Rattus norvegicus: one gene and its partner. The protein of the gene in region 1 interacts with the protein of each later gene in a pairwise test. Links are inferred from orthologs where the notes say so. Each region holds a gene or a part of one and is shown on either strand. Other genes may lie near its edges.

The links.
Region 2: the proteins of Lzts2 (region 1) and Rin1 interact in binary tests that used the Homo sapiens proteins (3 or more experiments, as listed by UniProt). The two-hybrid records come from large-scale screens. The link is inferred for Rattus norvegicus from reciprocal best matches to the Homo sapiens genes LZTS2 and RIN1.

The regions. Positions count from the first base shown.
Region 1 is NC_086019.1:253,829,056-253,837,469, reverse strand, and holds the start of Lzts2 (leucine zipper putative tumor suppressor 2), read right to left. Parts: upstream 5,372-8,414; 5' UTR 5,330-5,371; coding exon 4,922-5,329; intron 3,374-4,921; coding exon 2,711-3,373; intron 2,251-2,710; coding exon 1,993-2,250; intron 1,124-1,992; coding exon 440-1,123; 3' UTR 1-439. UniProt on the Homo sapiens protein: Negative regulator of katanin-mediated microtubule severing and release from the centrosome. Required for central spindle formation and the completion of cytokinesis.
Region 2 is NC_086019.1:211,782,504-211,789,896, forward strand, and holds Rin1 (ras and Rab interactor 1), read left to right. Parts: upstream 1-2,603; 5' UTR 2,604-2,739; coding exon 2,740-2,894; intron 2,895-3,038; coding exon 3,039-3,219; intron 3,220-3,318; coding exon 3,319-3,433; intron 3,434-3,522; coding exon 3,523-3,595; intron 3,596-3,705; coding exon 3,706-3,797; intron 3,798-3,933; coding exon 3,934-4,674; intron 4,675-4,922; coding exon 4,923-5,228; intron 5,229-5,540; coding exon 5,541-5,672; intron 5,673-5,806; coding exon 5,807-5,958; intron 5,959-6,786; coding exon 6,787-7,236; 3' UTR 7,237-7,252; downstream 7,253-7,393. UniProt on the Homo sapiens protein: Ras effector protein, which may serve as an inhibitory modulator of neuronal plasticity in aversive memory formation. Can affect Ras signaling at different levels. First, by competing with RAF1 protein for binding to activated Ras.

The DNA of each region.
Region 1 (8,414 bases):
AAGACATTGCTGAGTTCTTCCTTTGGTCTGACTTCAGCCCCCTCAGCCCACAAGAGGCTTGCGGAGCTGGGACATGGGGATCAGCCCCATTCCTAGTCCCGCCCCTCCACGTGGGCATATTGAGGGCAGGCACATCTGGGGCAGCTGGTGCCATCTGGTTCTCTCTGGCTTCAGGCAGGTAGAATGTGGGGACAGGTTAGCCCCCTTTCCTTTCCCAGCTGGAGTGGACTGGCAGTGGCGGCGGTGGGGAGTGAAATGGCAGCGTAGGCAGGAGCCTCTGGGTGACAGTGACACTGAACTGCAGGGGGGTTGATTCTGCTTCTCCAAGTTATGGGGCCACCCGAATGCTCGGCAGAGGCCTTTTGGCTCTGAGACCTGGAGCGCTTGCTCGATGGATCCCGGTGCAGGTGGTGCGGTGGCTCGCACCCCTTGCAAAGTCCTAGATTTCAGTGGCAGTGATCTCCTCCAGACAGATGCAAGGGGCCGGCTCCGACAAGCCCAAATCAGCAAGCTCCCGGGCCTCCAGCTCTAGGCTCAGTTGCTGCAGTTCCTGCTCCAGCTGTCGGTTACGCCGGTACATCTGGACATAGTTGTGCTGCAGCTGCTTCTGGTAGCGGATCACCTGTTCCTTCTCCGCCTGCCAGGCCAGCCGCTCCCCCTCAAAGCTGTTCCGTTGTTCATCTCCCCGCCGCTGCTCCCGCTGCAGTTCTTGGCGCAACCGTTCCACCTGAGCCCGCAGGCTACCCCCTGTCCCAGCGGCTGCCCGCTGCACCTTAGCCTCATCACTCTCCGCCAGGAGGAACGGGTCGGTGGTAGCCGGGGGTACAGGGGGCTCCCGGAGTCCTGCTGCTTCAGCATCCAAATGCCTAGCCTTCTCCCGGAGCTGCTCAGCCTCCTGGCGGTACCGCTGTAGCTCCTGTGAGCAGGCCTCCAGCTCCAGCTCCCGAGCTCGGGCTGCCTCCTGCAGGCCCCGGGCACGGCCCTCACTGACCCGCAAGGCAGCCCGGGCCTCTCGAAGGGCCACCCGCAGCGCCACCAGCTCACTACCCTTCTGGACCAGCTCTGCCTGAGATTCCTTCAGTTGCTGCTTCAGAAGGGAGATCTCACCTGATTTCTGACACACCTGTAGGTGAAAAGTATTGAGGGAAGATGGTGAGGCCTCTGGGTGTTGGGCACCGGGCATTCAAGGAAATGCTGTCTCAGGAGTTTACACACAGAAGCCCAGCAGGAGAGCCTAGTGATACGTCCATGGTTATACTTCTATTAAGAGGTGAAAGGGGGGGGGGGGCTGGAGAGATGGCTCAGAGGTTAAGAGCACTGTCTGCTCTTCCAGAGGTCCTGAGTTCAATTCCCAGCAACCACATGGTGGCTCATAACCATCTATAATCAGGTCTGGTGCCCTCTTCTGGCCTGCAGGCATACATGCAGGTAGAAAGCTGTATGACTATACATAATAAATAAATGTTAAAAAAAAAAAAAAAAAGAGGTGATAGGGGAACAGAGACCCAGGTCATTTCTTTTCAGTGCTGGGATCCTTATACCAGATGCTGTATAAACAAGGCCCAGGCCTGGAGACGGAGGCTGCAGGAGTGGAAACAGAGGGATTAACAGTACCCATCTATCATAGAAGGAAACACCACTAGCTATGTGGGTGCTAGATCACAACTCTGAGAACAACAGAGGAACAGGGAAACCCCCAACACAGAAAGAATAGGAAGGACAGACCCTGGAAGGTAGCTAAACACTGGCCACACCTCTGTGTATCTTAGTGTAACCCCTTCAGCCTGCCCAGTACCCATCTTTATTTTTAATATATTTATTTTTTATGTATATCAGAACATTGTAGCTGTCTTCAGACACACCAGAAGTTTACAGATGGTTGTGAGCCACCATGTGGTTGCTGGGAATTGAACTCAGGACCTCTGGAAGAGCAGTCAGTGCTCTTAAGCGTTGAGCCATCCCTCCAGCCCACCCAGTGCCCATCTTGCATACCTCCCATTTGGTCTCCTCTAGCCGTGGCCCAAGTTCCTGCTGCTCCCTTTCAAAAGTAGCACAGCGGCGCTCCAGCTGCTCTCGCTCCTGCAGCAGCTGGGCGAAGTCATCCTGCAACTGGCGCTTCTCTTGCTGCAGCTGGAACACTTGCAGTTGTAGCAGCTGTTGAGCCCGCTGGACACGCTGTGTGGCCTGCTGTGCGTGAGAGGCACAGTCCTCTCGTTCTCCTGGCCAGCGCCGCTGCCGTGCCCCGAATGCCTAGACAAAGACAGAAGGCTAGAAACGGTTGGGTCCCCCCAAATCGTGAGTTCTAGCATCTTCTGCTTGGGTGGCTCCCTGCCTGGCCTGAATCCAGTGAATTAGGACAACCATAAAAGCAGGCACTTATATGGCATTTCCTAGGTGACAGGCATTATTCTAAGTACTTTATCCCTTTCGTCTTATTTAATCTTCATAACCCCTTTAGGGAGTAACAGCTATCCCCATTTAGACAGGGAAACTGGGGCTGGGTGAGGTTAAGCAACTTGCTCAAATCTAACATCCTACAAGCCAGTGCTGGATCCAATTCACATACCTTGCCTCCTCACTGCTTTGAAGGTTATGCTCATAGCCTTGGGGGTGTCACATCATGAGTCTTTACCCTCTTCCTCCCCAACAGGAATTGTCCCTAGGCCCTGGGTATTCAGCCACACCGCCCCAGGACTGCCACTGGCCGCACCTGACACACGGCGGCCTCACTCTCATCCACACTGTCCCGCAGCTGCTGCAGCTCTGCCTCTCGGTCTCGAAGCTTCCCTTCCAGGACACAGTGTAGCAAGGCCTCATCCGAAGGGGGTGGAGGTGGTGGAGGGGGTGGGGAGCGGTCTCCACCCGAACTGCTGCCAGGGGAGGCCCGGGCCCCACTGCCCAAGAGCCCCCCAGCTACACGAGCCCCCAAGGAACCTGTGCTTTTGCTGGAGGAGGACCGGCCACTGTCTGAATGGGAGGGCCCAGTAGGGACCCCTCGGGCTGGACCAGGCAGTGGCCCTCGGCCAGGGCCGTGGGAGGGCAGGTGCCCACCTGGGGAGTTGGCAGTTGGCTCGGCACCTCCGGTGCTGTAGGTGGGCAAGCTTGATAAAGAATTTCGGCCAGAGTCTGACAGTGTTCCTGAAGGGCAGCCACTGGCCCAACCGCTGAGTGCCAAGGGTTTGTCAGTAGCAGAGGAGGAAGAGGAAGAGGAGGAGGAAGAGGCTGGCCCCCCAAACAGCTGTGTCAGGCTGCCCTGGCTCCCAGATAGCCCAGCAGCTCGAGGACCAAGGAAGCCAGGTAGGGATGGCGCCCCTCGAGGTTTGGGTAGCACTGGCTTGAAGGCTGTTGGTCGGATCAGGATCTTCTCCATATTCTGAAATGAGGTAGCATGTGACACTGTGAGGATGATCTGCCCGACCCCTTTCTTTTTAAAAAATTTAGTATTGTTGTGAGACAGGGTTTTACTCTATTGGCCTGGGTCCACTCACTATGTATCCCCTTGAACACAAGCCCTTCAAGATTACAGGTGTGTGATACCAAGCCCACTTTGCTTACTTGATCTTTCAAAACACACACACACACACACACACACACACAGAGGGGGGTGCATATGTATGAGTATGGATACGTGGTGCCTATGTGTGAAGATCAAATGTCAAAGTGTCAAAGTTAGGAGCTTTCCTCAATCACTTCCCACCTAAGTTTTTACACAATCTCTGGACCTGGATTTCATCAATCCAGCTAGTCTTGACTGGCTAGCAAGCCCCAGGGATCTGCCTGTCTCTGCCTGACAAGTGCTGAGATTCCAGTCCTTTGCCACAACGGCCACCTTTTTATATGGGTACTGGATCTGAACTTAGGAACGTGTATGAGTACACTGTCACTGTCTTCAGACACACCAGAAGAGGGCATCGGATCCCATTACAGATGGTTGTGAGCTACCATGTGGTTGCTAGGATTTGAACTCAGGACCTCTGGAAGAGCAGTCAGTGCTCTTAACCTCTGAGCCATCTCTCTGGCCCACCTTGATCTTACAAAATCATCATACTACTTGGCTTTCCCATACAGGGTTCTCACCCCTATAAATGAAAAACAATGGTTCCCACCGTTTCTTTCTTTCTTTCTTTCTCTCTCTCTCTCTCTCTCTCTCTTTCTTTTTGGAGCTGGGGACCAAACCCAGGGCCTTGTGCTTGCTAGGCAAGTGCTCTACCACTGAGCTAAATCCCCAACCCCGGCGGCACCGTTTCTAAACGTCTACTTATGTTAAGTAATTCAAAATGCTTATTTTTAATCATGATAATAGCCACGCAAGCAAAACATTATCCTCCTCTCCTACTAAAAACAGGATAGAGTCAGTCCCAGAATAAAGGTAAACAAAGGCTTCGCCCAAACACACACACGCACGCGCACGCACACACACACACACACACACACACACACACACACACACACAACACCACACCATACCACACCACACACCTCTATAATAACTAAAGCAACTTGGCTGGAAGTGGTAACAAATGCCTTTAATCCCAGTACTTGGGAGGCAGAAGCAAGCAGATCTCTGTGAGTTCAAGGCCAGCCTGGTCTACATAGTGAGTTCCAAGACAGTCAAGCTACAGAGAAAAACCCTGTCTCAAACACCAAAAGAGAGAGAGAGAGAGAGAGAGAGAGAGAGAGAGAGAGAGAGAGAGAGAGAAACACGAACTACTATATTGTTCATTTGGGAGTATTAATTCTAACAGGAGCCTATAAAGATTATCCTCTAACCTTAACTGTAAAGACACAGAAAATGGGGCTCAGACAGGTTATCTCCCTGAGCCAGAAAGAGAGATAAGACAGAGTCCATGCCTCCAAATTCTAGCTTCCCCAGCGGGGAGCTCGACCCCACCCAGATCCTCCCAAGAGGGCTGCCCGTTACCTTCTCCAGCCTTCCAGAGACAGGGATGAGCTTTGGTGGGGGCCCACGGAGGTGGGCATTGTGTGCCTGATGTTCTCGGGGATCTTCGACATCACTGCTTGGGCTGGGAGGTGACTCTGTCCGGAAGTCCTCATTGACATAGGTAAAGCTGTTGCCTGGGACAGTCTTCCTGGGTGGCACAGCTGGGCAGAGTGGTTCCTGGGCCTCATAGCCACCCCGGAGCAGCCCATCCTGCTGGCGGAAGAAGGTAGGCCCAGGGACACCATGGTGGCGTTGAGGAGCAGGTCCCCCAGGACAGGGCCGGCCTGAGATAAGACTGCTCACGCTGCCCATTGCTGGAGTTTGTGGGGCAGTGGCTGTCTCACGTGCGGGCTCCAGTGGCACTGGCAGAGTGTGCACAATGGCCATGGTGGCAGAGGTTCAGGCCTGGCCAGGGGCCTCCAGGGCAACCTGCGAGCAAGGCATTGGCGTCAGAGTCCCTGCACCTTGAGGATCCTCCCCCTATTAGCCTTCTCCTGACCCCCTCTTCCAGATAGAACATTCCCCATATAGTGAAACAGCTTCACCTCCCAAGAACTGGCAATGAACCTCAAGTCCCTCTGGGCCTCAACTCTAGTCTGGAACAAGGATAAGGAACAACTCAACCAAACAGAGATGAAAGAATGGGAGAACTAAGAGGTTATGCAGGGTTCCTTGACAGAGGAGACCCAGTTAAGCCCAAACCTGTATCCCCTATATAGCGAAGTCTCAGATTGGGCAGAGATCCCTAACTACTAGCTCCCAGTACATGTCCCTACTCTCTTGGGACAGGTGGCCTCATTCCTGGGCTATTTGGGCAGAGGACAAGTCAGGGATACAATCAGTAACTCAGATGGTAATTAGGGAACAAAGAACCAAAGCCAGGCACTGTCCAGCCTCCCACTGCTAGGCCTCAGTTTCTCCCAGACACTCAGGCGGCGTTGAGGGTGGAGCTGGCCAAACAGGAAACCTCACAGGTCTTAGGAACCCACAGATGCCCTCTGGGGTCTCCTACTTCCCAGAGGTCGATATAGGCTGTGCTTGTTTCTATGTCAACTCTTAGCTTCTGCCATCACTTGGGACTAAGGTAGCCTACACAGGCCCTGTCCCACTGTCAACCTTTATAAACCTTCCTGCTTTAGTTGATCTTCGGAATAACTCCTATGGAATTTGAGCAGGAGCCCATTACCACATCTGGTAGGATCTCAAGGAAGATGGCTCCACCCCCACCCCCCATCCTCAGTCTTGCTCCTTCCTGGGAAGGATAGCAAGCCTGCACCCGGAACTCCCTCCCAGTCCCAAGGCTGCCGATGACCAAGACTTAGGCATCTGCTGAAGTCATCATGTAGCTCAGGGGCCAAGAAGTGGACAGAGGCCTCCATGAGAGAGTGTGTATGTGTACACTTGTGGTGTGAGTACATAGACAGGACCATAAAAATGAAGAGAATCTGTGAAAACGTACATGAAAATATGCAGTATGAGTTTAGGCAGATAGTTCGTGCACACACACACACACACACACACACACACACACACACACACGAGATGTAGGGGGACATGACAAAAACAAACAGGGTTGTGCCATGCACCACAAGTGGGCCTCAAACTCAGGGATCCTCTTGCCTCAGACAGCTGGGATTCTAACCTTGTGCTCCTATGCTCAGCTGTACATGTGAATTCTTTTGTTTTGTTTGTTTGCTTTTCCAAGACAGGGTTTCTCCATGTAGCCCTGGCTGCCCTGGAACTTGCTCTGTAGACCAGGCTGGCCTTGAACTCAGAGATCCACCTGCCTCTGCCTCCTGAGTGCTAGATGTGTGAGTTCTTATGTTTTACAAGACTACGAGTTTCATAACTTAGGAAGCAACAGATGTTGTTAATGTGTATGTAACAAATGAATCTGTGGGCTCTGAATGTCACTATATGACAAGAAAATGGTTGGATATACGTTTGTCTACATATATGTGAGTTTTGTGTAAATATCACCAAATGTGAGCCCCGAGTTGGTTTCAACCAGCCATCCTCAATAAGCCATTTATTTTCTCCTTTCAGCGTGGAATTCCTAGGGTAATCCTCATTTTTCTGGGGTCCATTGAGTCAAGCCTCTCAGATTGAGAGGCAAATCTCTACAGAACGTCTTCATTTCTCCCAGGACAGTTACATGGACTCCAATGTATGTATTTTACACAAGGAAAGGGCGTGAAAGCTTATTTGGAGTAATCTGTACGTGTGAGTATTCTGGGAGTGCCTTGGGACCTTCTTGACATTCAAGGCCACCGGGAGTGACTGGGAGCTCCTCCCTAAAACTTTTTCTTTTTTTAAACCTAAGAGTTCGAGGAAAGGTGAGATCACAGTGTTGGAAGTTCTTGCCCCATCTAATCTTTCTATATTGTTCTCCATTAAGTGCCCTCAGTGTTAAGACACAGCTCAGAGTCACAGGAGTCCAGCTTGAGGACAGAGTTGCTGAGAGCTAGGGTAGGAAGTGAAATGGGTACAAGAAGCAACTACATACTTCTCTGTCGGGCTAGGTACTGAGATCGCCCCCATCAGGTCCAGCCTAGGGATAGAGACTGCTCCACAGTATAGAGAGAAGAGTGAGAAAGAGCTGGCACTCCTGTCCCTACTCCGGGGTAGACAGAAAGACCCAGAAGGAAGGGCAAGGCACTCAGAGACAAGACAGAAGAGACAAAGAGGCCAAGAGACTCAGACACGAGGAGCCCCAGGCAGACCCCTGAGTTAGGGTCGCTGAAGCTACACAGGCAAGGACCCTGCAAGCCAAGGGAACGTAAAACTGGGCCCTGAGGGCTCTGAGGGCCAGGCGTCTGGAAAGCCAGGCCTAGCCAGCCTGGCTCCCGCTCTTGAGGCCCAAGAGAGAAGGAGGGGCAAGCGGCTCCATTTTGAGAAATGCGTTTGTAGCTGTGGGAAAAAGAAACCCCTGGCTCTCCCTAGCACTCCCTGACCTATCACTATGGTATAAAGACCCCTATGCCCTCACCCTAGCAAGTGGGCTGGGGGTTCTAGAATCTGGGGCCGCGCCAGGGCCTGAGATAAGTCTGGCCCACGTTCCAACTCTCTGACCTCAGGGCTGGGGTTGGAGAGTTGGGGAAAGTCCCCCTAACACATACACTCAAACTCCAGAGACCAGTCAAGCAGGATCCAGTCTGGGATCACGAGTTTTCATTCCGAGACTGAAGCCCAGAGTCCCCGGCCCACCCATAATAGTCCTCTCCTTCCATGAATTGGGGGCGTCTATGGAATGCCACCTCCCCACCGGACCGCATCGCTTAGAAGTTGGGGCACCCTCAGCCCTGGACCCCTCACCTCCGCCGCGCTGCTCCATGCTCAGCCCCGGGCCGCCCCAGCACTCCACAGGCGCGCCGCCCGCTCCAGCCCGCGCGCGCGGCCACTCGGAGCTGCCCAGCTCGGCCCCGCCTCCGCCTAGCCGGCGCCCCCGGCCCTGACCAGCCCCCGCCCGGCC
Region 2 (7,393 bases), about 42 Mb from region 1:
GAGGCAGGAGGCAGAGGCAGGTGGATCTCTGTAAGTTTCAGGCCAGCTAGGATCACAAAGACCGTGTCTCAAAAAAAAGGCTCTGGCAGCACCTCCTCCATGTGCCAGATCTCCTAAGCAGAGGGTGTGTAGCACTGCTGCCTGTGGCCTTCACTGGAGCCTTGTTGCATTTCTCCTGTAGTTGTCCTTGACCCTTGTGTAGGCCCATACATTGTGTACATGCTGCAGGAGATCGACATCCTGGAAGACTGGACGGCCATCAAAAAGGTAGGTCCACTGCTGCCTGCTTACCCCACCCTGCTTTGCCACCCATCCTGCTCCTTCCAACCATTTCCTCCCTGCTTCCCACTCCTTCACCTGGCCCCTGTGCCAGGTCTCATGTCCGAGGATGCCCCCGTGCCAGCTCTAGTATCCAAGGATGCCCCTGTGTCAGCTCTAGTATCCGAGGATGCCCCCATGCCAGCTCTAGTATCCGAGGGTGCCCCCGTGCCAGCTCTAGTATCCGAGGATGTCCCCGTGCCAGCTCTAGTATCCAAGGATGCCCCCGTGCCAGCTCTAGTATCCAAGGATGCCCCTGTGTCAGCTCTAGTATCCGAGGATGCTCCTGTGTCAGCTCTAGTATCCGAGGATAACCCCCGTGCCAGCTCTAGTATCCAAGGATAACCCCCGTGCCAGCTCTAGTATCCAAGGACTAGTATCCAAGGATAACCCCTGTGCCAGCTCTAGTATCCGAGGATGCCCAGGCAGTTCTCTGCTTGCGCCTCAGCAACATCTATCTCAGCCCAGGTGCCCTGACTCTGTGGAAGTTTGTAGTCCTCCTGCTTAGAGACTGCCCTGAGGAAGGGGTGTTCGTGTCAGCCCTTGTTCCAGGAGGGCTGGAAGAAGAGGGGCAGCTGCTGGGCTGGCCTCCAAGCCGAGACACTTTGGGGCTTGGTGTAGAAGATTTTTATACTTCATACAACTTGACTCAGAGAGGCTTTTATCCTGGTCTGTGGGGGGCAGTATCAACAAGCTATAATGGACTCTAAGGGACCCTTTCTTCTCTCCACCCAGGCCAGGGCAGCAGTGTCCCCTCAGAAGAGAAAAGCAGATGGTAAGAACCGCAGACACAGGCTTGTCAGAATTGGTAGCCTGATCTGACTTTGAGGGTTTTGTGGGAGTTTGAGGAATAGAATCCAGGTTGGAGAAGCTCTTGGCTGAGGGAGCAAGAACATGGAGAGGTGGAGGTGTAGCTCAGTGGTAGTGCTCTCGCCTAGCATGGGCAGGAACCCAGTCCCAGGCTGCACACCACAAGAAGGTAAAAGTGCCTGGAGCCCCCAGGCAGGGTGGAGCAGAGAGAGCAGTAAGAAGAGACCCTTATGGATGAAGGGAGTAAGGCACTTCCCTCAGTGCCTTCAGGAAGTGGTGGTTGTCATTTTCTTTCAACGTCCTTCTACCCTTCTAGGACCCTGACCCTGCATTTACACTCGGAGGGTCCTTGGGGCAGCTGGCACCGCACACAGGATTAACGTTTCTCTGCAAAGGCAGGGGGTTACTTACTGCTGGACTCCTCTGCTCTCCTTGGGATCTGTATAACCAACCGGCCCTGACGCTGACCTGGCCAAGCAAGACCGTTGTCTCCATCCCTGAGCAGCCCACCCCTCCCCAAAGAGTAACTTCTCAGTGTCCCCCACAAGAAGACAGGCCTCATCCAGAGTCAAAGCAGCAACCCTCCTGACTAAACCCTGGTCCTTGGCCACTGAGTCATGAGCCAGGCCCCGCTGCAGGAGGGACTCCTGCCAGAGACATGTTGGGTCTTGCCCATCCTAACTGCCACTGGGGAGTTGGCTTCCCAGGCTTTCTCAGGGCCATTCCTGGTGTCTGCCTCTCAGATCCCAAGGACTGGAATAAAATTGGACCTGGATATGACTGCTGTGTGGTTGTTGTATCTTACAAGGGAATCAAGGCTTTTGTGGGGAGCACCTAAGACAGACTTCTGGGGTCCCTACAGTTTGAGACATTAGTTCTTAGAGAAAAGCCTGAGGAAGGAAGTTGGGACCAGGGCAGGCAAACAGTCGAAGCACGTGGCCTCGGGTGGGGAAGGGGCTTCTGCACATTTCTGGAGGTCAGGTCATGTCTGCACCTGCCCCAAACACTTGGCAAATTGGCAAGGCGGGCTAGCTAGCAGGGTCTGTGTGTGGGAGACAGCTAGCAGCAGCACCATGTGCTGTCGACCTCACAGCCACACGCCCCCTCTGCTTAGCAGTGAGTGTCAGAACCACCCCCAGAACCTCAGTTAAGCAAAGAGCTTAGTTTCCATGGAGACACAGCATCCTTTCTCCATAGCAACCTGAAATCACAAAACCCAAGTTAGATTCAGGAATGAGTCATCTGCAACCAGTAGGGGGTGCTCTCCCACAAGGCTGACCCCGCCTTCAAGGCTGGAACAGATGAGCCAGTGACCACAGACTTCTTAAGGTGACCCAGGGGTGCGGCTTGGGCCTGTGGGAACTTGGTTGGCCGTGTTTAACCCCTCCCTATCCCACTGCATAGTGTGAGGAGGCTACAGGAAGTGCTGTGTGGAGGTGCTCCTCCCACAGCGGGGGCCCTGATAGACTCTAGTGTGGAAGCCTCTGCCATTCAAGACTGGGCCAAGAGCAAAAGAAGTGGACACTGGCTACATGGAGTGGACATACAAGAGTTAACTGGCGGGGTGTGACCGGGCGAACCGCCTTCAGGAAGTGTTACTCACCGCCAGGAATGTGCACGCCTGTGCCTTGGGGGTTGGATTCTCTTCCTGAGTCCCAGGAGAAGCTGAAGGAGCTCCCAGCCATGGAAGACCCTGGTGAGACCGAAGCACACCCTCTGGGAGCCACCAGCCTGAACTTTGTACCTGGGTACCAACAGGAAGAAAAGTTAGTAAAGTCGGGAGATCAGCCAGGTGCAGGGGGTGAGGGCAGTTATAGGAAGATCTGGCAAGGACAGGAGAGATGGGAAGCCCCAAATGGGAAGAGGTGTTCACCCAAGACCCCTACTCAAGTCTGGGTGTCTGCCCCCAGGCCATCTCCAGACCCACTGTATGACACACCTGATGCCAGAGGGGTTCAGGCAGGCGGGTCCCAACAACCAGCACGCACAGTGAGCTTGCGGGAGCGGCTGCTGATCACCCGGCCTGTGTGGTTACAGCTGCGGGCCAACGCTGCAGCCGCACTGCACGTGCTGAGGACAGAGCCTCCGGGGGTGAGTCTCTCCCGTTCCTAAAGGTCTAGCCGGACAAGACTGGGAGGGAAAGGGCCTGGACGTGGAGATCCTGAGCCTCCTAATCTTGATCACTCGCAGACCTTCCTGGTGCGGAAATCTAACACTCGCCAGTGCCAGACTCTATGTGTGCGGCTGCCAGAAGCTAGTGGCCCCTCTTTTGTCTCCAGCCACTATCTCCAAGAGAGTCCTGGCGGTGAGGAGGGTGGCCTAGAGGGAAGGGGCTGGAAGACAGGCAGGGGAGGGAGGTTCCCAGAGAACGGCCTCACTCCCAATGTCTCTCAGGCATCTCTTTGGAGGGCTCAGAGCTCACATTCCCGGACCTGGTCCAGCTCATCTGTGCATACTGTCATACCAGGTGAGCCTGCCAGCAGGGCACCTGGTGACCCCTGGGCCTGCCTCCAGGGACTGCCCACCCTCTGCATCTGAGCACCACTCTCTCTTGACTGCACTTTGCTCTGACCTTAGGGACATTCTTCTCCTCCCTCTCCGACTCCCCAGAGCCATTCATCAGGCAGCCACCCACAAAGAGCTGGAGGCCATCTCCCATCTGGGCATGGGTAAGGGTCCCCTGCAGCCTGTTACACAGATGGACACATAGAAGCCAAATGGGGGGAAGAAAGAACAACCAAGATTTTTCTTTGTGGGTACTCTCCAGAGCCAGCTCTGAGGTCCCCATTGGTTTCTGATTGCTAGAGTTCTGGAGTTCCTCTCTCAACACCAAGAACCAACAGAGACCTTCAGAAGCTCCGCAGATACCCCGGCTGAAGGCTCGCTCCCCTCAAGAGCTGGATCAGGGCACTGGTGCAGCCCTCTGCTTCTTCAACCCCCTCTTCCCCGGGGATCTGGGCCCCACCAAACGTGAGAAATTCAAGAGGAGTTTCAAAGTGCGTGTATCCACAGAGACCTCCAGCCCTCTGTCTCCACCTGCTGTGCCGCCTCCTCCAGTCCCCGTTCTGCCAGGGACATCTTCCAGCCAAACGGAAAGACTGCCCCCTCGACAGCTGCTGCAGAGGGAGAGCTCAGTGGGATACCGTGTGCCAGGAAGTGCTTCTGGTCCTAGTCTTCCTCCCCTACCTTCACTTCAGGAGGTGGACTGCTGCTCCCCCAGCAGCTCAGAGGAGGAGGGTTCTTCAGGAAGCCCTACAACCTCCCCACGCCTAAGCCGCCCAAGGCACCGGCGGCCTCTGCTTCGGTCCATGAGTTCTGCTTTCTGCTCTCTGCTGGCACCAGAGAGGCAGGTGGGCCGGGCAGCTACAATGCTAATGCACAACCGATACACAGCTGTGGGTCAGCTAGTGCAGGACCTATTGACCCAGGTTCGTGTTGGTCCTGAGTCCCGGGAGTTGCAGGGCATCCGACAGGCCCTGAGTCGGGCACGGGCCATGCTGAGTGCAGAGCTGGGCCCTGAGAAACTGCTACCACCAGAGCGGCTGGGTAAGGCCGAGCCCTGGCCTGCACCGGTTCATGTCCCTGGCTCTCCATCCTCCCCTGTCTCCCTCTCTCCTTGACTTTGGTACCTAATGACTGCTGCTTACCCTGCACCCCACCCCCACCCCTTCTCACTACTGGTGCAGGGAATTCCATCTTCTCCTCCTCACCCTTCTCCCTATCTCCTGTCTTGGCGAGGGACTCCTGCTTTTCCAGGCTTCTTTCCCCTGACAGCAACAACTCTCTTCTTGCAGAATTGGTCCTGGAGAAATCCCTGCATCGCTCTGTTCTCAAGCCTCTTCGACCCATTCTAGCTGCCCGCCTGCGGCGCCGACTTTCCACAGACGGTTCCCTTGGCCGCCTAGCTGAGGGCTTCCGCCTGGCCCGGACCCAGGGGCCTGGAGCCTTCGGGTCCCACCTGAACCTTTCTTCCCCAGTGGAGATAGAACCAGTGCGTCAGAAGCTGCTGCAGCTCCTTCGTGCCTACTCGCCTAGTGCCCAGATCAAGTGGCTCCTGCAGGCCTGCAAGTTGCTATACACAGCCCTGAAAACCCAGGCAGGTATGACCCCCTTACCCCAACCACTTCCCCCAGCTCCACTCTTTCAAAGTAGAGGCTGTGCACTACCCACTTCCACAGCAAGCCGGTTCCAGAACCCCAGAGCTGCAAGCAGCATAGAAGGATCCAATCCTCTATTCCAGGAACTCTAGAGAACATTGTCTTTCTTCCCTGTAACTTTCCCTGAGGTTGCTATGTTGGTCCTGGTCTGTTACCTAGTTACCTAGGGATCTAGCAGGCGGAGGGGAGGGGTCACTGTCTAGTGTGGCGATTGGGCCTCTGAGGAGGCTGGAACTTCTTCCCATGTCTCCACAGGGGAGAATGCAGGTGCTGATGAGTTCCTGCCTCTCTTGAGCCTTGTCTTGGCCCAGTGCGACCTTCCTGACCTCCTGTTAGAAGCTGAGTATATGTCAGAGCTACTGGAACCCACATTGCTCACTGGGGAGGGTAAGAGTTCCCTCGCTTCCTGTTGGGGTGAAACTGGGGCTTCTTAGCTGCTAGTAAGTTCTTAGTAATCAAGGAAGGAAAGGCAGGCCACCCTACCCCAGCCTGAGGTGCATTTTATGTATCCTGTGTCCCAGGCGGCTACTACCTGACCAGCCTCTCAGCCAGCCTGGCCTTGTTGAGTGGCCTAAGCCAGGCCCACGCACTGCCACTCAGCCCTGCCCAGGAGCTCCAACGTTCTCTGGCCCTCTGGGAACAGCGCCGCCTGCCGGCCACCCACAACTTCCAGGTAAAGGGCCCTTCCCCACGTCTTCCCCATACTGGCCATGCTTGGAGGGACTCTAACATTACCCAGCACAGTTCCTCTACCCAGCACAGTTCCTCTAGCCTTGCATCACCCTACAATAGAAATAAAGGCCCACCTGGGTATCAGAGCAGCCCTTCAGGAGAATGTGTTCCATGGGGCAGGCACTGGACTGTGAACTTCAGGGCAGCCTCCTTGAATCATCACAGAAACCCTGCAGAGGTAGGGCCATTGTTTTTCTCATTTTACAGATAAGGAAGTAGAAACTGATGTCAGAGTGACAGCTAATTCCTGTCCTCTAGCACCAGCTAAGGCTCTACCATCCTTGTCCTTGAGCTTCAGTCTTTGCTCCCATTTGGACCTCAGCCAGGGCACACCATCCTTGACCTTCAACCTTCTCAGTCTTGCCAGATCCCAGATTCATCCCAGCTCTATCACTTTTTGTCTGTGCCTTGGTTTTCTCATCTCTAAAATGGGCACCTTGGTTGCCATGAAGGGAAGGTGTACTAGTGAACTATGGGGGAATAGTTCTAGGTAGGTAGCCCCAGGAACAGTTATGGAGAGAGCCAAGCACACAGTGGACTTTCCTTATAGATCTTTTCATAAAGTCCCCTCTGGCTGGCCTTGCACCTATACCACTAGTCCGAACACATTTCTCCCTGCCCCAATGTCCCCCTTGGAGCCCACAAGTCAGTCAGATCTACCATGAATGTGTACCACCCCACTCTATCACTGCACAGCTTCAGCCTGTCCCTTGTGCTTTGGAGGTGACAACCAGACAGAGCTGAGGACTTGTTCTTACTTTCTGCACAGCACCTCCTCCGAGTAGCCTACCAGGACCCCAGCACAGGTTGCACCTCCAAGACCTTGGCTGTGCCCCCGGGGTCTTCGATTGCCACCCTGAGTCAACTCTGTGCCACCAAGTTCCGAGTGACCCAACCGGATGCATTTGGCCTCTTTCTCTACAAGGACCAGGGCTACCATCGCCTGCCCCCTGAAGCCCTAGTCCACAGGCTTCCCACAACTGGTTACCTCATCTACCGCCGGGCAGAGCGCCCCGAGACCCAGAGGGCTGCAACAGAGAAGACCAAGACAGGAAATGAGAGGCCAGAGGCAGGAGCATGGGAGGAGGAGAAAGGGGGTCTAAATGGTGAAGGGAAATCTGAGATAGCTGTTGACCAAGAAGGCAAGGATCAGGCCAGAGGAGGTCACATGCAGCTAGAGGAACAAAAGGCAGAGGGATGCCCGGCTTTAGAAGAGTAGCCAGGAACAGCTAAAAGGGTTACCTGGGTCTTCAGGAGCCTCTAAGTGCACTCTGCCCAGCTGCCGAGCTTCCTTCACTACCCACACACAGTTCTCTGTGGTGTCTGCCACTGCCTCTAGCTGATCTTCATGAGTCCACCTGCTAGGGAACAGGGAG